Sus scrofa: one gene and its partners. The protein of the gene in region 2 purifies or fractionates together with the protein of the main gene of each other region. This does not show direct contact. Links are inferred from orthologs where the notes say so. Each region holds a gene or a part of one and is shown on either strand. Other genes may lie near its edges.

Region 1 (10,271 bases), on a different chromosome or scaffold from region 2:
ACCAGTGTGTGGGGAAGGGTGGAAGAAAAACCAAGTCCTCCAACCTCAAAAGAAAGATGTCAACAGTCTGGCTTGCAAGTTTGAAATGACTGAATAAAGATCACCTTATCTGAAAAATAACAGTAACGATAATAAATCCGCTTCATGATTAGCCTAGTAAGTATTGACCAAACTCTTAAAATTTCTTGAACAAATTGCCTTCCATCAATATCGCACCTCTACAGTAATTTATCACTAGTAATTATAATGGAGAGCACTGCTGTTAAATTTCAACTAGACCAGTGGTTCTCAAACTTCAGCTTACATCAGTATCACCTGGAATGGCTGTTAAAACAGACTGATAAACCACAGTTTCTGATTCAGAGGATTAAAACCATAAGCGATTCAACAAGAATTAGTTTTATTTAGAACTTAGAGCTCAAAGAAATCAGCTGGGAAAAGATAAAAATTCGAGAGGAATAAACCATACTGACACCTTAATAGCTACAACACACACACATCGCATCTCCCTCAAACAAGTGAACCAATTTATTATTATCATTATTATTATTTTTTAGGGCCACACCTGCGGCATGTGGAAGTTCCCAGGCTAGGAGTCAAATTGGAGCTGCAGCTGCTGGCCTACTCCACAGAAACACAGAATCAGGATCAAAGCCACATCGGCAGCCTACACCACAGCTCAGGGCAATGCCAGATCCTTAACCCACTGAGTAAGGCCAGAGATCAAACCCGGATCATCATGGATACTAGTGGGGTTCGCTACCACTGAGACACAACAGGAACTCCAAGTTGATCAACTTAAATTCATCTTGATATGCACACTTCAATTTCTTGGAAAAAGTGAGAATCTCCAATTTACTGAGCCTTTAAAAGGACTTTAGGAAAACAAACAAAGCATTAACATAAAAAAGGCCAGTCTAGTAGTTAACTTCCCAGATTTAAATTAAAAAAAAAAAAAAAAAAAAAGCAAAGCCAAACAAAAACTCAAGGTTCTGAGATGTAAATTAACCTGTCAGTTTAGAAGAAAGTAATGGTTAAAACTGACTTCCAAACCAATACACAATACACTGGACTATACTGCCTCTAATTTATGCATGAAACTTTACCTTAGAAGTTCTTTAATATTTCAAATAAATAAATGGGTGAAATAATAATTAAGATTTCAAATCCCATCGTGGTACAGTGGAAAGAATCCAACTAAGAACCATGAGGTTGCAGGTTGGATATCTGGCCTCGATCAGTGGTTTAAGGATCCTGCGTTGCCGTGAGCTGTAGTGTAGGTCGTGTAGGTTGCAAAGGCATCTCTGATCTGGCGTTGCTGTGGCTGTGGCGTGGCTGGCAGCTACAGCTCCAATAAGACCCCTGGCCTGGGACCCTCCATATGCCACAGGTGCGGCCCTATAAAAAGACAAAAAATGAACCAAAGATTTCAAATCAACAAACAACAGAAAGTTTCCCTCATGAAGGTTACATATTTCAGGTGTCTTTAATACAGGTTATTTAGAATAATAAATCTTATAATAAAGCAAGACGCCATCCACTTCTCTTTATGCCTCCTCTCTGTTCACATCCAATAGTCCGATGTGCCTCTTCTTCAGCACATCCTTTTTAAATGTGGTATTAAGGGTACTGTCATACTCTACTACATTCTTCCTAAGTGAGTCAAAATCATGACACTGGATGAACTATGACTATTCCAGAGGTTTGGAATTATCACCAGAGTGACTAAAAATATAGAGATGCTTAGGCTCCAATTCAGACTTGACTAATGAATAACAATCTCTGGGAATGGAGCCCAAGGACCTCTGTGTTCCCCATCTCTATGCTTCTTAGTTAAGAACCATGTCCTCTACAGTGACAAGCACACACCCAAGGCACAACCGACATTTGCTGAATATTGCTATGGAAATACAAAATGGCAAAGTTAAACATCCTTCAAATACAGAGCTATATAATGTTAGTTCAATAAATTACTTAGCTATTTAGGCAATTACATTAAATAATCACAGTAATTTTAATAAGTTAACTATTGTAACAGTAACAATAGTAGTTAAGTAAAGTTGGGCAAACCAAAGGCTATAAGCACCTACCATTGATATAAAGTTAAAGAAAATCCTTGATCTTTTCTTAAAAGTTCAAAAGGTAAGCTAAGTAGCCACAAAGGGTTTAAAAAAAACAAGGCCAAATTAAACAAACTATAACAAGAGTTAGAGAAAGCCAGAAAACCAAGAATTTCCTAAAAGAAAACGTGTTAACTTATTTGAAGACTAGAACTAATTAGCAGATATCTACAAATAACAGTATTAATCTGTTGCCCAGAACTACTCTCAGAAAAAGTAACCAAATTCCCCCAGGAAAGATTAACTTGGTGACCTTATTACATTTCAGTCTTTCTCTCTCAAATTCACTAGTATACCTGATTTCATATTGAAAAGTAGCACCAGGGAGAAGGGGATTTAAATTTTTTAGAATTAACAGTAAGCTCCCTAAGGTGAACTAAATAAAACAATGGTTCTAAAATTACTTAAAATATACATTAGACCAACATTAGTTTTAACTAAAAAACCTACATGTGTGATATGTAAAGCCACTATTAATATAAACAGGTCTTATAAATCAATAAAAGACAAACATCCCCAAAAGGGGTAAAACAGCAAAAGCAAAGGGCAATTTACGAAAGAATAAACATGTTAGAAGTTCAACCTCTAACGTGTTAGAAGTTCAAAAAAAAAAGGAAATTTAAAAAATGATGACCATTTTATTTCAATCAAACATCAGAGGGGGGAAAAACTAGTATAAGTATTTCTGAAAGCAGTGTGGTAATACGTATCACATGCTTTGAAAATAACCAAGCTCTTTGACTCAGCAATTCAATTTATTCTGAAAAATAGACATTCAAAGATTTACCTATAAGGATATTTCCAAAGAGGCTTATAAGACAGAAACTAGACATTAAAAAGAGCAAAATAATAAAAGACTGATTAAATAGTTTAGATCTATAAAAATGTAAGCACTTGAAAAATCGCTACTTTTTGACAAGACAAAGTTGCTGACATTCCTTCTTTAAAATCATTCTTTTTTCTAATCTGCTTTTTTCTACTAAAAACATAAAGAGAATACAGGGTTTGATTCTGTTATTATTTAAAAAACATCTATAGCTTAGTCACAGGTCTGGAATAATGACCACAGTTCAAATTCTGGTATATATCTCAAAGTGGCAGGTAAAATAATTATTTTTTTCTCCTTACCCAATACCTGTTTTCTAACAGTATGTTACCTATGTAACTTTTTAAGTTTAAATTTAACAAACATAACCTATAACATAACCAAAGCCTAGTTTAGATCTAATGTGTACTATTTGGAGAGGAAATGGTCTGGGCTAACTCCTATCCTTTGATTTACTGATATTCCTAAATATGAACTTTTAACAAGGGAAAGATACTAAGATATTGTGCAATTCTATTTAAGAGCATCCTTAACATGGAGTAGAATAGCAGTTTTCTTCAAAAATCTGTTATGGAAACATGGTTAAAGCAGGACACCTAAAAAAAAAAAAAAAAAATCCCTAGTATTTTGTAGGTCTGAGTTCAGTTCATCAGCACTTACTCCTTTCCCCCTAAACTAACAAAAAAAAGATATCATATGCATTAGCTACATCTTTGTTCCAGAAATGACATAAAGAATTTGTAAGGTTTGACCTCAGTGATTAAGGGCACACTTAAGAGTTGAAAAAGTTGGATGAGATTTAACTACATGAAAACACACCTAAGTTAAAAAATAAATAGCCATGAATTTTTAAAGCTAACTAAAATGCCAAAAAACCTAGGTAATAAGTTTGAAAACCACTTTATAGATTTGCTATATACTTTATACAGTAAATAAACAAAAAAAAAGAATTCAAAGTTTCACTGTAAATTCAAGTTTCCTCAAAGAAAGAAAAATTTTCAATTTAGTGACCTAAGACCTCAACTGTCATATTTTAAGAATTAGAAAAAAAAGTAAAACTTATCTTTCTTCTACAACCCTTCAATTCTCTCCTCAAACTACATTATCTATAGGAAAGTTTGAGATTTCCACTGTTTAGTAATAGCACTAGATATCACAGATTTTTTTAAACTATTATTCAAAGCAGTCTTCCAATAGGCCTACATAGATAGTTCCATTTTCAAAAGAAAGTGTCGCCTACTAAACAATACTGTAAAAAATCATGCAAACTTCACAAGTAGGCACTGACATACTACTAATTTACCAGTGAATATTAGCCAAGCAATTTTAAGGGGGTGGGGGATTGGTTATGACTGACATACAACAAGACAATAGTAATCTTCTGTTTATGTATATATAGTTTCTTTCCATGTAACCAGTGTTTTCTAAAAGTTGCAGTGAATCAAGGCTTCATTTTTATTCTTCAATCACATCCCTGACCCCCATGACTGTTTTTCCCAAAGAGAAACTTTTGACGTCCTAAGCTCAAAAACAAAGTCCGACCCACAAGAAGGTTAAATGAGATGTGGTTATCAATTTAAACCAAGACCAACTTAATGACCACGAAATACAAATTATTAGAGAAAGGGGGTGAGTCCAGAAGCAGAAAGCCTCTACTTACTAACTCACAATAGAGGCTTGTCCAATATTAAACAATAACACTACGCTTTGCTGTTGTTTTAGCTGCAAGGCTGGGTATGCAATTCGCTGCAACTGTTCCAACAGCTTAAGTACGCTACAACTGAAAAAAGTAGTAGTTGGGTCCCAAACAAATAGCAAAGATTTAAAAAGATGCAAGCAGAAGCCTCACCATCAGAAAAGAAGACCCACGAACACCTCTTCCAAGAAACACTTCCCTTCCCCCACCTTTAAGTAGGCACTTAAGACTGCCAAGCAGATCCATTCCTTTATTAACTGGTGTCCACTTGGGGCAACCGTACAACAAGCAGCTCTTAGGCCTACTCTAACCCCTTCCAAAAGTGCTCAAGTGAGGCTGAAGGCCGGAGAAACAGTCTTAGGGGCCCAGTTCTTCCAGCTCTTCTCCACTCTGCCCTGGTAGGTGCTCCATGGGCCAGAGGAGTAACACCGGGGCCAGGACCGGCAGGAACTGCGTCCAAGAGAGAAGTCTTAGGCGGCCGGAGGCCTCCGCCATAGCAGGACCTGGAAAGCACCGCCTCCAGCGCACCTCCCCACACCCGGCAAATGTCTGCTCTACCCCCAGCAGGGGCAGCGGAGGAGACAGGGCTGGGAGGTACCGGGCTGAGCTGAGCACCAGGCCCAGGCCTGCCCCTCGGGACCGCGCGAGCAGCACGAATCCGCTCCTGGGTCCAGACCGATCAAGCAGGCGTGGGGGCCACTCTCACCTGGATGACCTCGTTGACCTCCCGGATACATTCCACCATGTGTTGCAGAATCTGCTCGGCTGTGAGCACCTCGTAGCGGTAATCCTCCTCCTGCTCGTGCCCCGACCCGCCGCCGCCGCCGCCACTGCCGCCGCCGCCGCCGCCGGGCCCCAGAGCACTGCCGCCGCCACCGCCCGTCTCCCCGCCCAGCAGTCCGTCCCGCTCCCCGCCGACGCCCAGCTCAGGCTCCACCAGCTCCACCTCGCCCAGATCCAGGTTATCATCGTCCGGCTCGTCGTCGTCGTCGTCCTCCTCCTCCTCGGCGCCGCTGTCCTCCTCGCTGCACTCTTCGTCCTCGTCGAACTCGTAGTTGTACCCCTCGTCCGAGTCCATGGCGCGACGCGCGGGGGCCCGGCAGACGCTGGCCCTAAGGCGGGGAGAGGGCGGGGACGCCGAGGCCCCGGCTCTCGCTCCGGCTCCGGCTGATGTCCGGACGCAGGCCTGGCTCCGGCCCCGCGGGCCGCAGCTCCTCCCCGGGCGCGGCGGTTGGCGGTTGGCGGCTGGCGGCGGCGGGGAGGGCGCGGAGGAGGGAGGGAGGGAGCGAGGGGGCCGCTCGTCGCCCGCCTCAATCAGACGCGGCTCCGCACCGGCCTCGGAGAGAAAACAGTCCCCAGCGCCACCTCCACGGCCGCTGCTACCGCTACTGAGCCAACAAAGGGGCGTGCGTCACCGCGTCGCGCTGCGTCGTGGCGTCACTGTTCTTGGCGTCACCGCGCCCCGCCCCTCGGCCCCTGTGTGGAGTGCGGGGAGACCCCACGGCCGGGGCTGGCCCTGGGAGCCAGGCGCCGCGGGAATCGCCGCCTGGGTTCCCGCTGCGTTCGCTGTTCGGACGGACGCTGGCCGACACCAGCTGACAGTGTACTTGAGGAGGCTGTGGCCTCCTGGTCACCGAGAGGGGGCCCTTAGGCCGCCCCGGGAGTGGTTTTGCCACTGGCTATGGGGATCCAGCCATTCGCGCAAACCAATGGGGAAGGCGGCCTTCCCACCGGGCAGTAAAGACCCTTCCCGCCCAACCTGGAGTAATTCCAGGAAGACCTTGGATGTTGAGCTAATATTCCTGTTGCCTGGGCTACTCAGAGGATTCTGTTTTATGCAGAACCTCTCAGCCACGCAGCAGGTGTTCTCGTTTTAAGTAATTCACTTGACTCTGTGCCCTGGTACAGACGTGCTGTGATTTAAGTCGCCTGTAGTGACGTCATTTAAAAGAAGCGGTCTCTAAACTCCGCTCATTAAGCGCCTATTCAAGGCCAGAACATTGGCAAAGTCGTGGCTTGCCTTAGTTGAGCACTGTGTAAGATCTATAATCTATAATCTATACGTATGAATTATAATATTAATATATAATACAACATATTAAATATGTAATGTTTTTTCTCATCGTCACAGAGCCACAGTACCTGTGTTATGCCTGAGACTCAAAGAGGAAGAGACTTGACCAAGGCCACAGAACACTTGCCCTATTTTAGACCCTGGGTGACCTTAAATATCGATCATAAAAACACTTTATAACGTATAGTATGTATTATATACTGCATTGTATATAAAATGCATTGTAAGACAACATAAGACCGGTAAAAGAAATATCTGCAGGGACCAAATAAAGCAGAGAGATAGTGCTTGTCTTTTATCTGGAAATGTGCTGTTTGAGCTTAGTGTTGATAGATGGCTAGGAGTTTAATGGAAGGTAGGGAAGATGGTCGAGCCTGAGAAAATAACCGAATTTTGAGTTCCCTGGCGGTGCAGCAGGTTAAAAGTCCAGCATTATCACTGCAGTGGCTTGGGTCGCTGATGTGGCACGGGTTCAATCCCTGGCCTGGGTACTTGCACATGTGGAGGGCACATGGCAAAGAGAAGAAAAAGGAGAAGGAGAAAACAGCAAAAACAATAGCGCAGTAGGTGTAAAGTAGTTTAGTTTGAGGAAGGGCAAACGGCAAGTTAGTGGCCAGGACAGTAAGAGTAATTTATGCCATTCTAACATTAGACTTAATTCTTTGTTGGCAGAACAGGAGAACCAGAGAAATGTTCTGAAGGGAGAAGCATAAGAAAACTCCCTCTTGGGATAACTTGAATAATTGGCCAGATTGGAAATCTTTTAAAGCCCGAATCCCTAACTTACTGATAAATCTTAATGTTGAACCTACAAATTCCCTTTGGAAATTTATTTTGAAAAGTGAAAAATTCCTTTACAATGTATGTTAGCCTCTACTAATTTGTCCATTTTGTAATTTCTTTTTTAGCCACACCTGCAGCATATGGAATTTCCCAGCTGCAACTTCAACCTATGCCACAGCTGTGGTAACAGTGGATCCTTAAGCCACTCTGCTGGGCCAGGGATGGATCCCCAGCCCTAGCAGCGACCCGAACCACTGCAAAGACAATGCCAGATCCTTAACCTGCTGTGCCACAGAGGGAACTTCCATTTTGTAATTTATTTTTTAGAATCAAATTTCCTAAAGTAATCTTAGGATTTGCAAATTAAAACTTTGAAACATCAATGCTGGTAGGTCTTGGTCCTTTGGTCCTGTTTTTATTTAGCAATTATAGGTTGTTGCCACAACTGGGGCAAACTAAGGATACTAGCAACCCTTCTCTCAACCCCATCTCCATTGTTATATACCTATGGGAAAAAATCAGCCACACTTATCAGTACCCTAAACTCCTTTGCCCCATCTTTCCTTTCATCTGCTTCTACCTTGAGTGAACCCTACCATCCATATCCTCCCCTTTGGTACTGGAGCAGCTGACCACTACTGGAGAAATTTGCGTAATCACATGCATTCTGTTATTAAATTTCAATCGCCTACCACAACTGAGCTCTCAATACCACAGAGCAGTCCTGTTAAATTTTTCTAAATTATTCTCCTACTCTAGGCAACCTTTTCAAACCTTCACCAGTTTTTCAGATCCCCAACCCTGCCCTTCCAAATCCTCTTAAAGTACATGACTTTACATAACAGAGAATTCTGAAATCATAAAGACCAATGTGACTGAAGCATACTGGGCAAAAAAGAGTGTTACTGGATAAAGTTAGAGAGGGCAGATCAGGGCAGGAGGTCAGTAGGACCTTGTAGGCTGCCTTAAGTTTACATTATTACAATGGGAAGCATTAACGTAGTTTAAGCAGAAGAGTGAAGAGTGAAACCATATGTGTGTTTTAACAACTATGGGTGCTTTGTGGGAAATGGACTATGAAAGCAGAGACCAATTGTGAGGCTCAGTAGTCAGGTGAATAATGATAATGGTTCAAGTTAGAGTTGTGACAGTGGAGATGTCCTTGCAAATAGCTAGAGTGTGAAGTTGATAGAGGAATTGAGGATGCCTACTAAATTTGCGGCTTGAGCAACTGGGTTAATGGTGGTTCCATTTACTGAAACATATTAAATTTGAAATGCTACTAGACATTGAGGTAGAGATGTTGAATAGGCAGTTCTATATTCTAATGTACAAGACTGAATCAGGTCAGAAGTTAGGGCTAGAGATAGAGTTTCACCAAAGTTTATTTCAACAATGTTGAGAAGCAGCATAGGCTAAAGTTTAAGAGGTTAGACTCTGAAGGAGACAGAGCAGAATTTACCTCTGCCCTGCTAGTTGATGTCTGTAACTTTGAACAAATTACAAAGCTTCACTTTGAAGGATTATAATTCCAGTTTTCATAGGACTATTTATGAGTATCAAATGCCTGGCACATAGTTACGTGTTCACAAAATTAGAATTTTTAAAAAGTGTGTATAAGTCACCTTGTATCTTTTGGGGAAAAAAACCATAGCTAATTGGATTTATAACCTTTTAATTGATTTTTTTGATTACACAGGTATGTATATGGCCTAAGTCATCCCTGTTTTCCAGGAAAGAAAACTGGTCAGCTTGTTTCTCAAAAATCTTTTCCATAGTCTGATGACTTCTTTTTTAGTCAGTATCATGGGCAATGTCATAGTGATTCTGAATTTTGGGGTCTTGATTCATGGATTAAACCATCATAACCAGATTCTCAGCAACAATCATTCCATTGGTATTTTTAAAAATACCTTAGAATCAGATTAGTTTATAGTGCTATTAAAGGAAACCAGTATAACAACTTCTCTCTGGCCACTAATTGGCCAAGGGATGACCCACATACAATGTTTTTTAAGTGACTTGATCTTAAAGGTATTGCCTGTGTTACTGATTTCTCAGCTATGATGATTACTGGGTGGAAGTATAGTAGTCTGTAAACAACAACAGGACAAGTTCCTTGAAAAAGAATAGTCGAGTTAGTATTTCCTTAGTGCCAAAAGAATAATTGTTTTGTAATTGGGTACTCCCATTGTTTCAATGTTCTGATAAGGTCAAAAATATTAGTATACATTTATTAAATATCTATTCCTGGGGCAAAACTCCTTAAGTATTTATATGCTCACCAGTGGTTAACGAATGAAATTCCAACAGGAAAAATATGCAAGTGCTTTTCAGATAAATAAAAGTTAAAATAGCCCTGAGGGCAGATAATAGCTGTAAGCTATGGAAAACCTCTAGTAATGGCACGGCACTAGGGTGACAGAATGGGGGATTTCTGGGATGTGGAATTTTCCGTGTTAAAACTAGGAAATCTCAGACAAATGGGGATGTGGTCATCTCATCAAAAATTCTTGTGTGATCTTTCAAAAACTAAGTGGAAATTGCTTTTTGCTATTTTGTTTGTGAAATGTTTTTAATGCAGCACTTTTTGCTTTTTAAAAAAAATTGAGTTGTTTCTGTGTTTTGCAGGTAGGAGGTAAGAAAATGAATTTTTAATTTTAATATAAATTTAATTTAAAATCGAATTTTAGGAGTTTCCATTGTGGCTGAACCCAACTAGTATCCATGAGGATGCGACTTTGATCCCTGGCCTTGTTTGGTGGGTCAAGG
Region 2 (10,313 bases):
GTCTTCAGACCAAGAATGCTTTGTAGGTGAGTTCAACCAGAACAGAGCCAGAACCACTCTTAAGTATTTATGTAACTATTCATTTAATGGCAGACAAGAACTTACTAGAAAATGGTCATTGTTAAATCAAGATTCTTATTTTCATCTTTAACAAAAAGTCTTTTTACAAGAATCATAATTCATCTATTTTCTTTTTTTTTTTTTTTTTTGCCATTTCTTGGGCCGCTCCCGCGGCACATGGAGATTCCCAGGCTAGGGGTCTAATCGGAGCTGTAGCCATCGGCCTATGCCAGAGCCACAGCAACGCAGGATCTGAGCCACGTCTGCAACCTACACCACAGCTCACGGGAACGCCAGATCCTTAACCCACTGAGCAAGACCAGGGATCAAACCCACAACCTCATGGTTCCTAGTCGGATTCGTTAACCACTGAACCACGATGGGAACTCCCAATTCATCTATTTTTGAAAGGAAGACAAGCCCAGTAATGGCAACCAGATTCCTCTTTAGTGCGTATATGTTTCTTATGGGTAAAGCCCTGATTCAGTCCTTGCTTTATCCTAGAGCCCTGCAAAAGGCCCAGAATATAAATATCCATCAAATGAATAAAAGATATGACTTGAAAATACTTTCATAATTGTTACAGGAGTTCAATCTTCTACTTCTTCGCCTGACATTTAAAATATATAGCAAAAAGACAGAAAAAAAAATTAAAATATATAGTAAAGCAGGTGCCTAACTAAAAGCCCACATCAACCCCTCAATCATTCAACACTAAGACAGAATACCAATGGCCTTTGTCTGCTACCATCTTCCCAAGAAGTGCATTCTCTTGCATGCAGAAAGAAACACAGTGACTTAAATACAGATGTTAAAAAAAAGTCTGGATTATATAAAATTATTAACTAGTTACAAAAGAGAGCCCTGAGAAAGTAAAATTTTCTCTGGGTGAAACCCCTTGTGAAAAAGCACAGCAAAAAAAAAATTGGCAAGCATGTAATCAAAACCCCCACCCAAGCACATTTAAAACTGGGCGTGTGTTTTTCTGTGATAGGTGCCTTCTCTTTATACTAAACATCATGGTAGCTGCTGATCTGCTTGGACTGTCCTATGAAAAGGTAAACAGGGTCAAAACTCAGAGAAACCAAGGGCCACAAACTACCAACACAAAATGGCTGATTTGTGCTTTCCAAATTGCAATGGTCACAGACGAGTCCCCTATTTTGTTTTTATTATTAACTGAGCAAATATCGAGGGAGAACCTATTATGTACTGGACACTAGGCTAGATGCTGGAAACACAGGAGTAAATAACATGGACTTATAAATAACCAACCAAATCAAATAACTGCTATAAAGGACACTACAGGATGTCTTAGAAATATTTAACAGAACTGTCATAGCTTGTGTTTGTGTGTATGGACATAGGGTCACGGAAAACACCTTTGAGTGAGTTCAAGGTAGGATCCCAAGACCAATCATGGGTTAGTTTTACACTGCCTAATAAAGCAGACACTGGCCAAGTGTGGTTACTGAGCATGTGAAATGTGGCTAGTCTGAACTGAGATGTGCTGAAGAGTAAAATACACTGTGACGACCTAGTACCAAAAAAAAAAAAAAATTCACTTTAAAATACTGATTACAGAAAGTTCCTATATGTGGACCTATAATAAATAAATAAATAAAAAGAAAATACTGATTACAAAAAGGGGGAGGGGGAGTTTCCTTGTGGCCTAGCAGTTAGGGATATGGCATTGTCACTGATGTGGCCTGGGTTCAATCCCTGCCCTGGAAATTTCTGCATGACACATGGATAGCCCCCCCAATTAATTAATTCACTAATTAAATACGGATTACATTCTGAAATAAAAATATTTTGGAAATAATAGGATAAATACAATACAAATCACTTGTTCTTTTAACTTCATTAATGTGAGTACTGGAAAACTTTAAATTACATATGTGCTCATATTTATGGCTTACACTTAGACTGAATAGTGCTGGGTTTGAAAAAGATAAGGGGGAGAAGAGGCGGTGAATATTCCAGTAGGGGGAACAAGATATGTAAGAGCTCTATACAAGACCACGGATAGTTCCAGAATAGAAGGAAAGCCAGGGTACTACCAGAGTAAGGAGAGTGGCTCGAGATAAAGCTGAAGAGGCACGTATGTGGTTTTCAAAATAAGTTAAAATTTCAATTCTAGAACGTTGAAATTTCTTTGCCCTATTTCTTTCGTGTGTGTGTGTGTGTGTGTGTGTGTGTGTGTGTGTGTGTTTAGAGTCATACCTGTGGCATATGTAAGTTCCCAGGCTAGGGGTCGAACCAGAGCTGTAGCTGCCAGCGCACGCCATAGCCACAGCCACACCAGATCTGAGACACTTCTGTGACCTACACCACAGCTCACGGCAGTGCCAAATCTTTAACCCATTGATCAAGGGCAGAGATCAAACCCCCGTCCTCATGGATACTAGTCGGGTTTGTTGACCACTAAGCCACGACGGGAACTCTTCTTTGTCCTCTTTCTGATCTCAGTAACAAACCATTTTAGTAACTGAATAAAAAGTAACCTCAACTGCTCCTGGTGTGATCAATAATTCTTGCCCCTAGTACTACAGAAATACTAAGTCCATTAACAGCTATAATTAAACCTACTGTGTGCTGACCACTATGTGTAATGGACTATATGGAAATTTAAATGAAATTTTCTTAGAGCAATTAACTACCTATTTAGATGTTGGCAGTGATGTTAACTACATTTGGGGCTAACACTGAAAATGCATACTCCTTAGACCTCTTCATAAATCTTCCCCAGCAAACATTTGCTCTGCTAGGATATTTTAGCTCAAAGTTAATTTTCTTTCTTTCACTATTTTTGCCTTTAAGTCTGGGTGCAAGATGGGAAATGGAGAAGAAATAATCAACAGTACCTCTGTGCCCGCAATTCATTCTAAATGTGGCCTTATCTTTAGATTGAATAGCCTTATTCTGAGAGATGGATATGCCTTCAGGACACCCTAAAAAAATTACTTTATTTCAAACATACCAACACACCAAATGCAGAAGTCCCCAAGTGCTAAGAATATACTTTATCTTTCCTCGTGAAGAAGAAAATTGGTCACATCAGGATAGCTGCAATCTCTGTAACCTTCTCAAACTTCCTCCCATCCTCCTCCAATTACTTACAAAGATCCATAATGTGGTTCCTGCAGATGGCACAGTTATCAACCACAATATCCCAGGCCCAGAGGGCTACTGCATTCCACTGCAAAGAGAAAAAGGGGGAACAATGCATGCTACTCTTTTAACACAAGCGCACACGCGTGCACACACACACACATACACATACACACACACACTCCAGGATTTCATCCTGTAGTTATCACCTTTTTGGCCACAAAGACCACCAAACAAGAGTTTCTGGATGTTACATGACTCTTTTTTTTAAAATTATATCAGAGAGCATCAGTAGGCTACACGTATGCTTACCCATTCTCTAAACTGTCAACTATATAAACACAAATGAATATCATCTTTTATTTTTTCCTACAGTTTAATTTAGTCAGCCATATCAATATAAATAAATCAGGAATAATTTATAAGTGTCGGTTTTAGGTCTAATAATCACAAACTTGAATTACTGTGCAGGTTCTCCTGGCAGTTGCAAAAGAGCTCAATTTCTGCATAAATACCTGCTCTTCAAGGCAGCTTTTACGCAGGAATGGACAGGTGAAGGCTAGGAAGAGAATGAACTAAGATGTTGATTGGATCATAAAACGGGTAATCGTAGGATAAGCTGGATAACTACCCAGTGTGAGTCCATAGAACAAGGTCATCGCTTAAATCTTATAAGATTATTTCACAACAAACTCTAAAATTCACTGGAATTTCGTATAGTTCCTATCATCAAATAAGCTGATGTTCTCAACTTTTATATGCTCAGACTGTTATATTTAGCTAGGATAATTTCCTTAAGAGTTTATCTAAAAGTGGTATTTCAATAATTCAACCTCTGGCTTCTGCAATAAATATTCCCAAACTCCCTTTCACCCCCTAATTTGGTGACACGTCCCAAACCTTCATCTCCTTCAAACCTAATTTTCAATGTCTAGCAACTTCTTCAACACTTTTCACCGACAGCTTCAACTTGGAGGAAAGAAGAAAAAAAAAATCTTACTTCTATTCTTCAATATGGCTGCTGGCTGTAACTGAGCATGCAGTGCCCACAATGAAACGCCAAAACGCATTAGACGGGGGAATACCGTCAGGGTTTAGCTAGATGTTCCAGGGATAAAATCTTCCCTATTTGGAATCTTCATTTTGGACAGATTTGTTTTATCTAATGTGGGATGGGCACTTTTCTCCCAAACTGCTGGCAAATCACTGTAAGGCATTTCATGCAAAAAGACACGTTCCACATTTCTTCTTTCCCACTTTACCAGGTTGTTCGCAACTTGTATTCAACCCTCCCTACTTGAAACAATACTTGGGCTCCGTTTTCTTTTTAACAAATTCCACCATGCCTTTTTTTTTTTTTTTCGGATGGGGATTCTGGATATGACCGCAGGACTGGGGCGGCTGTGTAACAAATCAACAGACCTTTCAGAAGAGCCAAGAGTTACACTCGAGAAACTAACTCGGCAGGGGCGAGGGCCAGAGAGGGCTAATGGAGGCCTCGATTAGGCGAGGACCAGGTCGAGGTTCCTCAGAGGGACCCCAAGCTTTGGATAGGGGCGGGGCACGGAGATCACTAGCCCGGTCCTCAGAAGCCTCCAATGCGGTAGGACCTCAGGTTCCCGGCTTGGGCCGTACTGTCCCATCCTCCACCCACCGCAGCCCTCGACTCCCCCTTCCACCCGCCCCACCCTCGCCTTCCCCACCCCTCCACCACTCCAGTGACAGCTCAGGCGCTTGGCTCCTGCATCCAAGTCGCAACCCCGCGCATCTCAATAAGCACCTCCGTGATTGGCCCCTCAGCCTCCGAGCGAAACCAACACTGGCACTGACAGTGGGCCGCAGTCACGCCGATCAACCCTAAGACCCGCCTCCCGGCTTCCTTTGGTGGTACCCGGTCCCCGGAACGCCCTGAAATGAAGCCCTTTCCTCCGCGCCTTGGTCATCCTGGGCCTGCCAGCCAGATCCGCGCCTCTCTAGTTTCCCTGAGGAAGGCGCTGGCGAGACCCAACCTTTTTCACTTCAAAGCGCTTCTTGCCCGCGCCGCTGTTGGTGCCGCTCGGGGTATCCACATCCATCGCTGCCGCCATTTTGGAAACACACGATCTGTCGTCTCGTTACTGCGCCTGCGCGCCAGCGCACGTCTCACTCCCCCTCCCGTCCGGACACCTCCTCCCGCACCCCACCCCTCACTGGCGCGCGAGGGGCAAGTGGGGGCGGAGCGTGTGGCCACGCCTCTTAAAGGCGCTGGTGCTGGTTCCCCCCGCCCCCCACTCTACCCCGCGTCGGCTGGGAGGAGGCGGTTGCCGGAGCTGCTGGGGCGGGGCCGGGCGGGGCCGGGCCGACGCGAGAGAGCCGGGTGGAAATGTTCGAAAGGACTCGCTCTCATCGCCCTTCCTCGGGAAGCCCCCGGCCTCACTCCCTCCGCAGGGGCGGCGGCTGTTTCCTCCGCCTCGGCCGCGACCTGCAGCCCGCGCACAGCCTATCCTTCCCCGCCGCCGCGCAGCTCCAGTGCCCGCGGGTCCTCGTCGCGTTCTTCCGGGGAAAGGGCGAGGGTGGGCGTCCCGCCTCCTGCTGCGGAAACCCAAGACCTCACTCTTAGTGGTCTTTCTCAGATCCTGACCCACTTCTGAGCCCGGCCTGAGGTCCTAGCCTCCTTGGGCCATAGCACCTTTCCAGCCAAAGCACCTGTGCTTTCTATCACCTTCCCATTTGTAGACCACCTCTCCACTTTTTTTTCATCTCTAATCTTGCAGAGGTATGACTGCTAGATCACTCTTAAATCTTGTATTGGCTTATTTGAAATCTCGTATCTTCTCTTAAAAGAAAGCTGAAGAGTAATGGATGGTCTTGACTCCACTGTTAAACCAGAAGTAGGGTTTGTTTCCTTGTCTTAATTTTAAACAGGAAAACAAATCTGTGAAAACGCCGCAGCTTTAACCGGAGTAGAGAGAGAAGACTTGTGAGAGACCTTAAAGTTTTAGTAGGAACACTACCAAGTTTTTCTAAGACCAAGTTTTGTTAAATGAATGATTCCATATCAAGAGTTCTGTCATCTAATTTATTGTGTTCCCGCAGGAATACTAGAAACCCATAGTAAATTAAGGTATCGAGGGCATATTTATCCTTCATTCAACACTTTCACTGAATGTAACTATATATATAATATGTATTCATTAACTATGTATTATATATATATAAATATATATGAAATAGGACCTGGGGTCCTATGTATGTATATAGGTCTCATAATGTATATATACCCCAGGTACTATTATAGATGGGAGAGACTGATGAAGGAGTGAAACTTCTGGTAGGGAAGTAACACACAAGTCAACAAATAAATGCTTCAAAAAATCTCAGTAAAGGAATTCCCATTGTGGTTCAGTGGAAGCAAATCTGACCAGCATCCATTAGGACACAGGTTCAATCCCTGGCCTCGCTCAGTGGGTTAAGGATCCGGTGTTGCGGTGTTGCCATGAGCTGTGGTGTAGGTTGCAGACGCAGCTCAGATCCCGCGTTGCTGTGGCTGTGGTGTAGGCCGGTGGCTACAGCTCCGATTCGACCCCTAGCCTGGGCGCCTCCATATGCTTCGAGAGCGGCCCAAGAAATGGCAAACACACACACACACACACACACACACACACACACACACACACACACACACACACACAAAGAGTCCCAGAATGGAAGGACAAAGAGGGCCAGGCATGGGCCAGGCTGAAAAGGTAATTGGTAAAGTAAGTGCTGAAATACTTCTCAAATTTGGCAAGAAACATAAACCTATAGATTTAAGAAACTGAGTAAAAATTGATATGCCGAGACACATCACCATTAAACTTCTAAAAACTAAAGACAAAAAAAAACCTTGAAAGCAGCCAGAGAAAATAACACTACTGAGGAAAATTGATTTGAATGAGTGATTTCTCATCACAAATAATGGAGGCCCAGAAAGAAGTGGCAAAATATTTTTTCAGGATGGAAAAAACAAAATAAACTGTCAACCCAGCTCCTATACCCAATTAAAATATTCTTCAGGAGTTCCCGTTGTGGCTCAGCAGTAATGAACCTGACTAGTATCCATGAATCGCTGGCTTTACTCAGTGGGTTAAGTATCCCACGTTGCCATGAGCTGTGGTGTAGGCCAGTAGCTACAGCTCCAATTTGACCCTTAGCCTGGGAACTTCCATATGCTATGGATGAGGCCCTTTAAAGACAAATGCAATAAAATAAAATATTCTTCAGCAATGAAGGGACAATCAAAAAAGTTTCAAAGCAACTGAAATGGAACAAATAAAAATTGTTACCAAAAAAACCCCACAAGTTTCAGATGGGCGTTCCCTTGTGTTGCAGCAGGTTAAGGAACTGGCATTGCCACTGATGCAGCTTGGGTAACTGCTGTGGTGCAGGTTTGATCCTTGGCTTGGGAACTTCTGTTTGCCAAGGGCACAACCAAAAAGGAAAAAAAAAGTCTCAGGTGAAGGAAAATGAAGAGAGTCTTTGTTACTAGCAGAACCATACAAAATATGGCTAAAGGAAGTTCTCTAAAACAGGAAGGATGGAGTTCCCGTTATGGTGCAGCAGAAACAAATCTGACTAGTGTCCATGAGGATATAGTTTTGATCCCTGGCCTCGCTCAGTGGGTTGGGGATCCGGCATTGCCATGAGCTGTGGTGTAGGTCGCAGGATGCAGCTCGGATCCTGCTTTGCTGTGGCGGTAGCGTAGGCTGGCAACTGTAGCTCTGATTGGATCCCTAGCCTGGGACCTTCCATATGCCGAGGGTGCAGCCCTAAAATAAATAAATAAATTAATTAAATTAAATAAAACAGGAAGGAAACAATAAAACAAGGAAGCTTGGAACAACAGGAAGAAGAAAGAAAACAGTAAAAAAAAAAAAACAACAGGTAAATTTGACAGGCTTCCCTTCTCCACTTGAGTTTTCAAAATCATGTTTAACAGTTGAAGTAAATCTTATAGCACTGTCTTATGTGGTTTTAAATATATATGGAGGAAATATTTAAGAAAATTATAAACTGTGGAGGGTAAAGGAACATAGAGGAAAGTAAGTTATCTATTCTTCCCTGGTAAAATTATGACACCAGAGTTCCAGTTTTTGCTCAGCAGTAATGACCTGACTAGTATCCATGAGGAAATCTGTTAAATCCCTGGCTTCACTCAGTGGGTTAAGGATCCAGTGTTGCTGTGGCTGTGGCATAGGCCAGCAGCTGCAACTCCGATTGACCCCTAGTTTGGGAACTTCCATATGCTGTGGGTTTGGGCCTTACAAAAAAAAAAAAAAGACACTAGTATACTGTCATGAGTTATTATGTATATATAATGTAATAACTAGAACAACCATTTTAAAAATATAAAAGAGATACACTCAAAAATATAGACCAATCAAGATGGAATTCTAAAACAGGTTTATGTAACTCACAGGAAAGCAAGAAAACAAAAAGCAAGATGTGAAAAACAAAGAGAACAAAACAAAAAATGAAGCAATAGACTTAATTCTTATATCAATAATTACATTAAATGTAAATGGTCTAAATATACCAATTAAGAGACAGAGATTGGCAGAGGAGATTAAAAAAGCCTGACCCAATATATGCTGTCTCACTTCAAAAATTATGATATAGGGGAGTTCCTGTCATGGTGCAGTGGTTAACGAATCCGACTAGGAACCATGAGGTTGCGGGTTCGGTCCCTGCCCTTGCTCAGTGGGTTAACGATCTGGTGTTGCTGTGAGCTGTGGTGTAGGCCGGCGGCTACAGCTCTGATTAGACCCCTAGCCTGGGAATCTCCATATGCCGCAGGAGCAGCCCAAGAAATAGCAAAAAGACAAAAAAAAAAAAAAAAAAAAAAAAAAAAAAAGATATAGGAAAGGTGCAAGTTAAAAGACGGAAAAAGATATATCTTGCAAACATTACTCAAAGGAAAGCTGGAATTACTATATTAATATTGGATAAAGTAGACTTTAGAGCAAAGAATATTACCAGAGAAAGGAGAGGACTTTATAAATGCTCAAACAAAAAAAGTCAGCCCACCAAGAAGACACAGCAGTCCAAAATGTATACACATTAAAACTGTGCTGCAAAACATGTAAGGCAAAACCCGATAGACCTGAAAGTAGAAACAGACAAATCCACCATTAGAGTGGTGACTTCAGCACCTCCCTTTCAACAATGGATAGAACTAGACAATCAGCAAGAATATAGAAGAACTCAACACCACCAATAACCAATGGGATCGAATCAAATTTGCCCAATAACAGCAGCATAACGTATTCTTTTTCAAGGGCCATAGGGTAGGGAGTTCCCTGGTGGCTCAGCAGGTTAAATATTCTGTATTGTCACTGCTGTGGCTGAGGTACTGCTGTGGTGAGAGTTCAATACCTAGCCCCAGAACTTCTGCATGCCTCAGGCAAAGCCAAAAAAAAAAAAAAAAAAACAGAAAAAACAAAACCACAAAACAGTTCCATGGAGCATATACCAAGACAGACTATATACTGGGCATAAAACAAATCTTTAAAAATTCTAAAGGATTGATGGAGTTCCCGTCGTGGCGCAGTGGTTAACGAATCCGACTAGGAACCATGAGGTTGCGGGTTCGGTCCCTGCCCTTGCTCAGTGGGTTAACGATCCGGCGTTGCCGTGAGCTGTGGTGTAGGTTGCAGACGCGGCTCGGATCCCGCGTTGCTGTGGCTCTGGTGTAGGCCGGTGGCTACAGCTCCGATTCAACCCCTAGCCTGGGAATCTCCATATGCCGAGGGAGCGGCCCAAGAAATAACAACAACAACAACAACAACAAAAAGACAAAAGACAAAAGACAAAAAAAAAAAAAAAAAAAAAAAAAAGATGTTTAAAAAAAAATTCTAAAGGATTAATTATACAGTATATTCTTCAACCACAATGAAATCAGATTATAAGTCAAAAAGAGAAGATAACAGAAAATTCTCTAAACACCTAGAAATTAAATAACACATTTCTGGAGTTCCTGTCGTGGCTCAGTGGTTAACGGATCTGACTAGGAACCATGAGGTTGCAGGTTCCATCCCTGGCCTTGCTCAGTGGGTTAAGGATCCGGCATTGCCATGAGCTGTGGTGTAGGTTGCAGATGCGGCTTGGATCCCACATTGCTG
Region 3 (10,213 bases), on a different chromosome or scaffold from region 2:
TTTTCTGGGCTGTACTGGACCAGCAGCGTGCAGTGGCCATCAAGGTGAGGCAAGCTGCCGCCGCATCACTAGGCACTCAGGAGCGGGAGGTGGGTCTCCTACCTGTAACGAGTAGACCCTGTTGGTGTGCCCCTGCAACGTGTGCAGGCAGGTCTCCGTCTCGGGGTCCCACACTTTCACCATGAAGTCATACGCTCCGCTCACAACCCTCCTGCCGTCGTACTGGACACAGCGGACCGCTGCCACGTGACCCATCAAAACGTGTAAACACTGGCCTGTCTCAATATCCCAAACCCTAAGAGTGGCATCGCGAGAACCACTAACAACTCTGCAGGGAGAAACGGAAAAGAAGGCAGCAGCATTTTAATAACACGGGAAAACCGGATATATGAAGTCAGGGGGGATGAAAACTTTTCTCCTTTTTTAAGCAGCAACACTTGCGTTCAAAAGGAACACACGCTAGATAAAACCAACCTTGCTATATAAACCTCTACAGGCTGAGTGACTCTGGTGGGGACAGGCAGTTGGAAAGCCTAGACTCCTGCCTGTTGGGTTCCCCCACTGCTTGAGGGCTCCAGGAGCAGCTTAGGGTCCCATGGAACAGTGTGAAAATGACTGTACTGTAATTAGCAAAGACAAAGAGGAAGAAGAGGAAAAAGAAGTCAGAGAAAGTAAATAAACAGCAGCAGGAGTAGCAGAAGCAGCCAGTTCTGAATACATACAAGCAGATCTTGATGTTAGAAATAAAATGCTGAGGTGGGCAACATGCGTAAAATGTTAATGGGTGGTAGTTGTCTGAAAAATTGACATTTTCTTTATTCTTTCTGCCATGTCCCCAAATTTTAATAATGAACACATACTTCCTTTGCGATCAGGGAAAAATTTCAACAAAACACATCGGAATTTGGCATTTAAAAAGCTAAAGATATGTGCTTTACACCACATACTCTGGTCAAATTAACCAGTCTTCAACATATCCTCAAACAAAGGCTGCTTTTATGCTTATATTTAAAACTAGTCAATAGGCCAGGGAAAGCATTAAGATATACAGATTACAGGAGTTCCCGTCGTGGTGCAGTGGTTAACGAATCCGACTAGGAACCATGAGGTTGCGGGTTCAATCTCTGCCCTTGCTCAGTGGGTTGACGGCGTTGCCATGAGCTGTGGTGTAGGTTGCAGATGCGGCTCGGATCCCACATTGCTGTGGCTCTGACGTAGGCCAGTGACTATAGCTCCGATTAGACCCCTAGCCTGGGAACCTCCATATGCCACGAGAGCGGCCCAAGAAATGGTAAAAAAAAAAAAAGATATACAGATTACAGAAGAAACGTAGGTAGAGGCAACAGAAATCCCTTAAAAATCATCCCAACATTATTAAACTGATACTCTTCTGAGAACCAGACTGATAGAAATACTCCAGTTACCTTTGGATTACAAAGGCAAGCTGAAAACTCAGGCGAATTTACATCATTCCAAATAGGTAAAGAGTTTCCAGGTTTGGAAGAGTAGAAAATGGAAGCACTGAGAGACTGAAGTCAGAAACTACTGGCAACTGAAATGCAAGGTCTCTGGATACCAATCCCCCCAGTTTTAACAGCAGCGTGCACTGTTCAGAGCAGATTCAAATTACATGTGAAAAGGTACTTTTCTTCACATATTACAAATCTAGAGTGAAATCTGCTTAATGTAATGGTTCTTAATAAGGAAGATGCTACGGACAGAATTAACGGTGACGACTGGAGTGGCTTCACTCTAAGGACCCTTCAGAGAGACCTCTTCCGACAAATGGGACAGAAATCACATCTGTTTAACAGGAGTACCATGCATACGAACAGGAGACAGAAGGGACTTGCACAGGGAAGCTTTGCAGGAGGAGATAAAAGCAACAGCGAAGGTGCTGAGAAGAAAAAGGCAAGCGGTCTGGTTCGGCTGAAACTATTTTGGAAACCGGATTGAGGGTTTCTTTGTTAATTCGGTCAGCAGTGATACGACGGTAATTAGAGGAGGTTCTGTGTAAGAGTCTGAACGCTATGTCCATAGTTTGGGTGATAGGTAAGGAGAATAAGTTAATCCCACAGGCCTCGGTTTCTGCCTGAGACGACCCAGTTTATGACCGAGTCGGGGCAGGGCAGGTGGGTAAGTAAAGACTCAGAGGCTTGAAGACTGAATAACTGAATTTGTCCTACTTCCAGAAATATACGCTCCGTCCAATTTTTTTTTTTTTTTTATGATGATGCATCATCCAAGATTTAGAAAAATTAAGTAAGGTATTAGTCAAGATTAGAGAATAGAGAGGTTCAAGGGGAAGGCCAAGAACACTGTTAAATGAGGAAGGAAGCGTAAAGCAACTGCCCGATTTTAAGGCAAGACACCATGGTTTTCCTGGCAGAGAACATCTGAAGTTGACTAATTAACATCTAATTTAAGAGCACGTTATCACTGTCTATTAGACACAGTAATACGACGGAACGCTACACAAAAGGCTCCAGGTTCACAAGTAACAGAGGAAAACTTCCCAACCGGCAGGGTGTTCCCTCACCTCTTTTCATGGAGGTGCATACAACGCACAGTGGAAGTATGTCCATACAAGGTGTGTATGCATTCTCCCGTCTCCGCGTTCCACACTTTGAGAGTCCGGTCTGTCGATCCACTAATGATGATATTGTCTCTCATCTGTGATGACCACACTCCACCTGTGTGTCCCACTAATGTCCTCAGACACTGGAAAAACACTTAAGGTGATTACTTTTGGGTAGAAAGAAAACCAGTTTAAATAACATCTCAGCAGGTCGTTAAAATCTGGAGTAAAGTCACTAACTCAGTTGGAATGTTTGGCGTATTAGAAAGTAATGTTTCACATCAATATAAGAGGATCCCATCACTATTTATTGCTTTGTTTATTCACCAGCATTGCAGATTACACACACGCACACACACACACACATACATACACACACACACAACTGAGGATCAAGTATGTTGAAAGGAAACCTTTCTTGCTAAAGTATGACAGCTCTAGCCTGGCCTCTTGGATAAAATAATACTAAAATTGCAGCTTGGTTTCTTCCATGGGAATGGATTCAATGAAAGAACGCCAACAGTGTTGGGTGTGGCTACATACCACATTTCATCTGAATCTGCCCCAAGGCAGTAGCTAGGAACCAGGCAAGGTACTTCTAGACAAGTAAAGACAGACATTAAAACCCTGAAATAAATCCAAAACTAATATTACACTATGGAAATATGAAGCTGTTTTAAAAGTTTTTAACATCTGACTTGGAATAACTATTCTTCTAAATAGAAGATTCTTGCCCCCAAATAAGCATGCTATGCAACACTGAAATGACAGATTCCACCTCCCACACACTCTTTCTTCTATTACTTTTTAGGTAGTCAATTACTTAATTCAAGAAAATATTTTCCATTGGACAGATAAAAATAAATATTCAGTAGAGAGGCATTAGAGTATAATATTGTATGCAATGAAACTGATTGCCTGGGCTGCCTTTTTTTTTCCCATCAAATTCCTATTTAACTAACTAGGCTGCTTAACTTCTATGTTATAGGATCTGAGGTAAGTCAAAATTAGCATGATTTATTTAACTTTTAAACTATAGGTAGGCTATTAAAGCAGTTTACAAGAAAAAAATTCCTCAATCATATTTTTGAAAAAGATTAAAAAGGAAGGAGATAATAAAAGCAGGAAACATTAAGCCAAAAAAAAAAAAAAAAAAAAGCACATCTATAAAATCTTAAAATAGCTAAGTCACAAAGATAGACAAACTATTTAGATGAAGAAGAAACTAATGACATCCCTATCATGAGAAACATCATTTTCATGCCAAGGAAAAAGCTAAATTAGAAGCTCTGATATCTCCTATCAAAATAAGCTAGAGTCAAAAATGAAATGAATCCTTGTCTTCCTTCCAGTGGCTGATCCTTGCAAAGATGTACACAAAATGGTGACTTTACGAAGGGTAGAAAGAAGTCAACTTACTTTGCCTGTGACTGCCGACCAGACTTTTAAAGTGTTGTCATCAGAGCCACTAACGATTCGGTTCCCACAAAACTGTAAGCATGTGATCACGTGATCATCATGCCCTTTCAGCACCTACAACACAGATGCGCCTATCAGGAACACGTTACTCGATCAGAGTTCTTAAAATACTGGTGAAAAGAAAAATGAGGCCACCAATAGCAGCAGTAATATGTAGTCTTTCTAAAACTAAAATTTATAAAAAAATATAAAGCATCCTTCCTGGCAGAGGAATTAAGTATTAAGCATTTTACTGTTTCCATATTCTATTATTTATACTTGAGGCATCAACTACTAAAATTTCATTCAGTCAAGACCTCATAAAGGTGGTTCAAACACAAATGTATTTTATAATCACCTATTGTTCAAACCAAAAGAATGTAACTTGTCAAACACCAAAGTACCTACTAACTAGAAAGATAGTAATTATCAACTTTTTTCAACTTTAACCAAAAATATATATACATACTAATAGGAAATGTCTCCCCAAATTTCCTTTTTCCAATTGAAAAAATAGAGCTAAGTGTTTCAAGGATTTTTGCCATTCTATTTTTTTTCCCCCTTTCAGTCATGCTCGAGGCAGAAGTTCCCAGGGATGACACTCGAGCCACAGCAGGGACAACACCAGATCCTTAACCTGCTGCACCACCAGAGAACTCCCCTGCCATTCTTTACATACTTGAAATGGTATAAGGCAGAAAATCAGAATTATGCTTAAATGTATAAAATTAAAACACACAAAAGTCACCTCCTCAAACATGGGTATTACTCAAAAAAAAATCATGCCTGGATTATGTGGTCAGAGAGGGAGCAAATTCTTAGGTAGTATGTATATAACAAAATTCAACAGGATATTTGGAAATTTTCGTTTACACGTAATAGAACACGCAAGTTAACTCATCTTTTATTCAAGTATAATCATTTGTCAGACTAGAGAAATTAGCAAGGAGGAATACTGTCAGTTACATTTTCAGTTATTTTAAAATATATTGTTTTCTTTCCACAGGAGATGAGTTGTCACGTTATACTGCTTGCCAAGAAATGGAAGAGTAAGTACACTGAGTACTAACACTGATTAATGGTTTCTGTTACATCGTGTGAGAGTTCAGTTACCTTAGGAGATTTGAGTTCTCCTCGCCTCCAGTTAGTATCAATTCTGTGCTGTCTGATGTAGGCACTTTTCCATGGACTGTGTATGAAACCTGGTTTTATTACTTTTCTTCTCTTGATATGCAGTGGTTCGTCAATACCTAAAATTTAAAAATTGTCAGTGTATTACTGCCTTCACCAAAAATACAAATTACAATTTTATAATGTAGCTCATTTTCCCCTATGCTCAAAACCCCTGAAATGCAGAACACTGTCTAATTTCTAACGCTGGCATTACAAAACAATGAAGTTTGCATTCCGTATGGCATGCTTCATACCGACTGCTTCATTTCTCTCTCAAAATAATTCTATGAAACGTTGGGGAGGATGTGCAGAAATTGGAACCCTTGTGTAATGCTTGTGGGAATATAAAATGATGCAGCTGCTATGGAAAAGAGTATGGCGGTTCTTCAAAAATAAATTAAGCCTAAAATCACCCCATATGATCCAGCAATTCCACTTTTGGACAAACACCCAAAAGAACTGAAACCAGGGATCTGCAGAGGCTTTTGTATACCCATGTTCACGGCAGCATTCTTTACAACAGCCAAGAGGTGGGAGAAACACAAGTGTCTGTCGATGGATAAATGGAGAAAAAGATGTGGTTGATATATACAATGGAATGTTATTTAGCCTTAAAGAAAGGGCAGATACTCCGACACATCTGGATGAACCGTGAAGACATCACGCTAAGTGACATAAGACAGTCACAAAAAGACGAACACTGCATGATTCCACTAATATGTGGTACCTAGAGGAGTCAAATCCACAGGCCGAAAACAAAACGGTGGTTGCCAGGGCTGGCTGGAGCGGGGTATGGAGAGGGATAGGGAGTCACCGTTACATGGGCAGCATCTCAGCGGGGTAAGACGAAAAGTTCTAGAGATGGATGGTGGTGATGGAAGCACGACAAGAGGAATGTACTTTATGCTATTGAACGGTACACTTAAAAATGGTTCAAGAGATACATCCTGTTTTATGTATAAATTATCACCATTTTAAAGAGTCATTAAAATAATGATTCTATGAGATGGTTAATCCCACTTTATATATACTTGAGAAGATGTCACTGATTGGTCGAAGCCACAGACAGGGCAGAGGCAGGATCAGAAAACAAGTATCCTCACCTCTAGGCTTCACTAACCACCGGTGCTTGCCACTCAACTGCAACCTCCGTGAAGGAGAAGGTAACCCATAGCCTCTCTGTCTTATGGTCTATGGTTCTTTCTTAAAAATTTGGCTTGCCAAAAACAAATAATATTTTTCCAGAATTTTTTCAAAAATATTTTTCTAGATGCCTGCCGGAAAAAAAAAAAAAAAGACCTTTCTTAAATTAATATGGATGATATCGATGCCTTTACTAAGAAAGGGGATTTTGGAGTTCCCGTCGTGGTGCAGAGGAGACAAATCCAACTAGGAACCATGAGGTTGCAGACACGGCTTGGATCTGGTGTTGCAGTGGCTGTGGCTGTGGTATAGGCCAGCGGCTACCGCTCACTTTAGACCCCTAGCCTGAGAACCTCCATATGCTGTGGGTGTGGCCCTAAAAAGAGAAAAAGACAAAAAACAAAAACAAAAACCAGAAAGAGTATTCCCCCCCGCCCGCCAGGCTCTGAACACAAGCTCCATGCTGGGAAGAAAATGGGAGTTTATCATTATATCCCCAGGATATAAGAATATATAGCATATAAGAGGGGTTCAATAAGTACTTGTGGAGGGCATGAATAGAATACAGATATCTGTGTATATAATTGCTAATTTAACTTTGGGATTCTCTTTAAGTCATCCTCATCTTGACTTTCTCATAGTTTAGTTCTACTGGAGACTGGGAAACAGGTCTGATATATTTACTAACAGTTACAGTGCTCATCAAAGGGGTTAGAAGCAAGATCTGGCTCATGTGAATGTGTGGAATAACCTGTGGATGTTACAGAAGCAGGTCAATACAAATGAAGACGCAATCTTGATTCTTTGACAGGCTGCCAAAGTTCTCTTTTAACTTACCTACCACTTTAGTCTATGGGCACATAAAACTTATTTTTTTTGTTTGTTTTCAGAATCACTTGCTTTTTTGAACTACAGACATTTCCTCTATGTGATTTTGAATCTTACCCTCTTCTTTGCATTTTTCTCTCCAGAGAAGGTTGTCTTCAGCCAGAATCCTCCAGTAGCGACACGTCTGAGCAGCCTGTAGCAGGTCTTTGGGTTCCAGGAATGAAAGCACATAAAGTGCCAGCTGTGGAAAGAAAAAGTGCTGCATACCTTGTATCTCTGTGGAGTTCCCTGGTGGCTCAGTGGGTTAAGGGAAGCGGCCTTGTCACTGCTGTGGCTTGGGTTTGATCCCTGGCCTGAGAACTTCCACATGCCATGGCTATGGCCAAAAAAAATCCCCCAACAAAACTTGCATCTTTTTTTAATTATGAAAAATAAGTTAGTCATTCTCTAAGGATGAAGTACTTATAGATAAATGTAATATACCTCAACATTCTAATTTCTAAAATTATAAAAAGTAATACCTTCTAATATATGCCAGATTTAAGAACAAAGTGTTGGTTTTTATAAACTTCACTAACTCCTCACCGCTTTAAGGATACTTTTTTTTTTTTTTTTTGGTCTTTTTGCCATTTCTTGGGCCGTTCCTGTGGCATATGGAGATTCCCAAGCTAGGGGTCAAATTGGAGTTACAGCTGCCAGCCTACCCCAGACTATGCCAGAGCCACAGCAACTCGGGATTCGAGCCACGTCTGCAACCTACACCACAGCTCACGGCAACACCAGATCCTTAACCCACTGAGCAAGGCCAGGGATCAAACCCGCAACCTCATGGTTCCTAGTCGGATTCGTTAACTACTGTGCCATGATGGGAACTCCAAGGAATACTTATTAAACCTCTCTGCCTCTTCTCTTGCCTTTGCTCTGTGAGCCTCAACTCAAGAATTCTACTATTTATTTATATATAAGTAATTTATTACTATTTACTTCATTGGTTGTTTAAAATTTGTCTTTTCCTGTCCTCACTACAATATTTCATTTAAGTTGAGAAATGAGATTTCTTCCAGCAATCCCACTCCTGAGCATCTATCCAGAGAAAACCATGACTCACAAAGACACATGTAGTCTGATGTTCATTGCAGCACTATTTGCAATAGCCAAGACATGGAAACAACCTAAATGTCCATCAACAGAGGAGTGGATCAAGAAGATGTGGTACATATATACACAATGGAATATTACTCAGCCATTAAAAGGAACGAAATACCAGCATTTTTAGCAACATGGATGGACCAAGAAATTATCATGCTAAGTGAAGTCAGCAATACAATGAGACGCCAACATCAAATGCTATCACTGACATGTGGAATCTGAAAAAAGGACAGACTGAACTTCTTCGCAGAACAGATGCTGACTCACAGACATTAAAAAACTTCATGGTCTCCAAAGGAGACAGTTTGGGGGTGGGGGGATGTGCTTGGGATGTGGGATGGAAATCCTCTGAAATTGGATTGTGATGATCACTGTACAACTACAGGTGTGATAAATTCATTGAGTAATAAAGAAAAAAATAAAGAAATGAGATTTCTATCTATTCTATTCCAAAGCATGATTTCAGATTGCTTTGGATAGTTATATATAATTAACAGTTCTTTATCATATCAAAGTACTTATTATATCACAATGATGAACCTTCCAAACATTTACACCCTGTCATTTACACTGTAAATGACAAAAGGGAACACTTAAGAAACTGCTCTATAGATATATAAAAGTAAGTGGGTTCAAATCCCTTTATATTGCTTACAGGGATTTTTCTCCATGGACCAGACAGAATTGTCTATTAGAGTTAGGGCTTTGGTACATCACTGATTTAAAAATTTTATTTCTAATACTTGCAAACCATCAATTTTTTTCCCAGTGTGTACAGTCAATTCAAATAAGTAAAAGGAAAGAGAAGTAAAAGGGGAATGACAGCTTCTGACTATGCTCATTCAATTAGCATCACAAATTACATAAAACTGTAAATTATGATATTAGGACAGAATGATCTAAACAGAGCTATAAAGTGAAAACAAACTATCATTTAAAGGTCCTAGGGTCATATAGGGAATAAAAACATAATCTGAATTATGTTTTGATGCTAAATAGGAATTCCATAATATAAATTGTTTTCCCAATGACTTTGTATGTACACAGTTCATCATTAATCACTTATTGAGTACATTCCATACAGAAAGTACTCCCACCAGTCAGTATTCATTTTAATACTACTTTAATACTGCTTAACAAATGACAGCGAAAAACTTTTTGTGGAATAATTATTTTTGGTCTACCAGAAAAAAAGTTCAGTATCATACACAGAATCTGAGTCATTTAAAATATGAAGGCATAACTATATTCCATAATTTATATATGTGTATTCATACCTACATACACATACACAAATATACACATACATACATAAGTCAACAATGTATTTTTTCTTGGGGGGGGGGTCTTTTTGCCTTTTCTAGGGCCGCACCCTCGGCATATGGAGGTTCCCAGGCTAGGGGTCTAATCGGAGCTGTAGCTGCCGGCCTACATCAGAGCCACAGCAACACGGGATCCGAGCCGCGTCTGCGACCTACACCACAGCTCACGACAAAGCTGGATCCTTAACCCACTGAGCAAGGCCAGGGATCGAACCTGCAACCTCATGGTTCCTAGTTGGATTCGTTAATCACTGAGCCACAACGGGAACTCCAATAATGTATTTTTTTAATAGATACTCCATAAGCCACTTAATTTTGAAATAATCAATCAAAGCCTGGGCAAGTTTGCTTAGTGTTGGTATAATAGTAAAGTATTAACACCATACTATTAATCGTCTATGTGAAACTGCTATATTTTTTGGCCGTGCCCATGGCATGCAGACATTCTCGGGCCAGGGTTCAAACCCACACCACGGCAATGACCCGAAGCATAGCAGTGACAAAACCAGATCCTTAATTGATAGGCCATCAGGGAACTCTAAAATTGATGTCTAACACAGAA

Evidence for each region.
Region 1: the proteins of RBX1 (region 2) and ARIH1 purify together in Homo sapiens (affinity purification with mass spectrometry; 3 studies listed by BioGRID and IntAct, with this or other methods). This does not show direct contact. The link is inferred for Sus scrofa from reciprocal best matches to the Homo sapiens genes RBX1 and ARIH1.
Region 3: the proteins of RBX1 (region 2) and FBXW7 purify together in Homo sapiens (affinity purification with western blotting; 8 studies listed by BioGRID and IntAct, with this or other methods). This does not show direct contact. The link is inferred for Sus scrofa from reciprocal best matches to the Homo sapiens genes RBX1 and FBXW7.

What each region holds. Positions count from the first base shown.
Region 1 is NC_010449.5:60,818,070-60,828,340, forward strand, and holds the start of ARIH1 (E3 ubiquitin-protein ligase ARIH1), read right to left. Parts: upstream 5,721-10,271; coding exon 5,349-5,720; intron 1-5,348. Other genes in the region: uncharacterized protein LOC110261568, read left to right, coding at 5,719-6,519. UniProt on the Homo sapiens protein: E3 ubiquitin-protein ligase, which catalyzes ubiquitination of target proteins together with ubiquitin-conjugating enzyme E2 UBE2L3.
Region 2 is NC_010447.5:7,510,046-7,520,358, forward strand, and holds the start of RBX1 (E3 ubiquitin-protein ligase RBX1), read right to left. Parts: upstream 4,820-10,313; 5' UTR 4,245-4,819; coding exon 4,175-4,244; intron 3,734-4,174; coding exon 3,690-3,733; intron 3,263-3,689; coding exon 3,184-3,262; intron 1-3,183. UniProt on the Homo sapiens protein: E3 ubiquitin ligase component of multiple cullin-RING-based E3 ubiquitin-protein ligase (CRLs) complexes which mediate the ubiquitination and subsequent proteasomal degradation of target proteins, including proteins involved in cell cycle progression, signal transduction, transcription and transcription-coupled nucleotide excision repair.
Region 3 is NC_010450.4:76,683,648-76,693,860, reverse strand, and holds part of FBXW7 (F-box/WD repeat-containing protein 7), read right to left. Parts: intron 7,422-10,213; coding exon 7,298-7,421; intron 5,287-7,297; coding exon 5,150-5,286; intron 4,112-5,149; coding exon 3,998-4,111; intron 2,722-3,997; coding exon 2,540-2,721; intron 329-2,539; coding exon 103-328; intron 1-102. UniProt on the Homo sapiens protein: Substrate recognition component of a SCF (SKP1-CUL1-F-box protein) E3 ubiquitin-protein ligase complex which mediates the ubiquitination and subsequent proteasomal degradation of target proteins.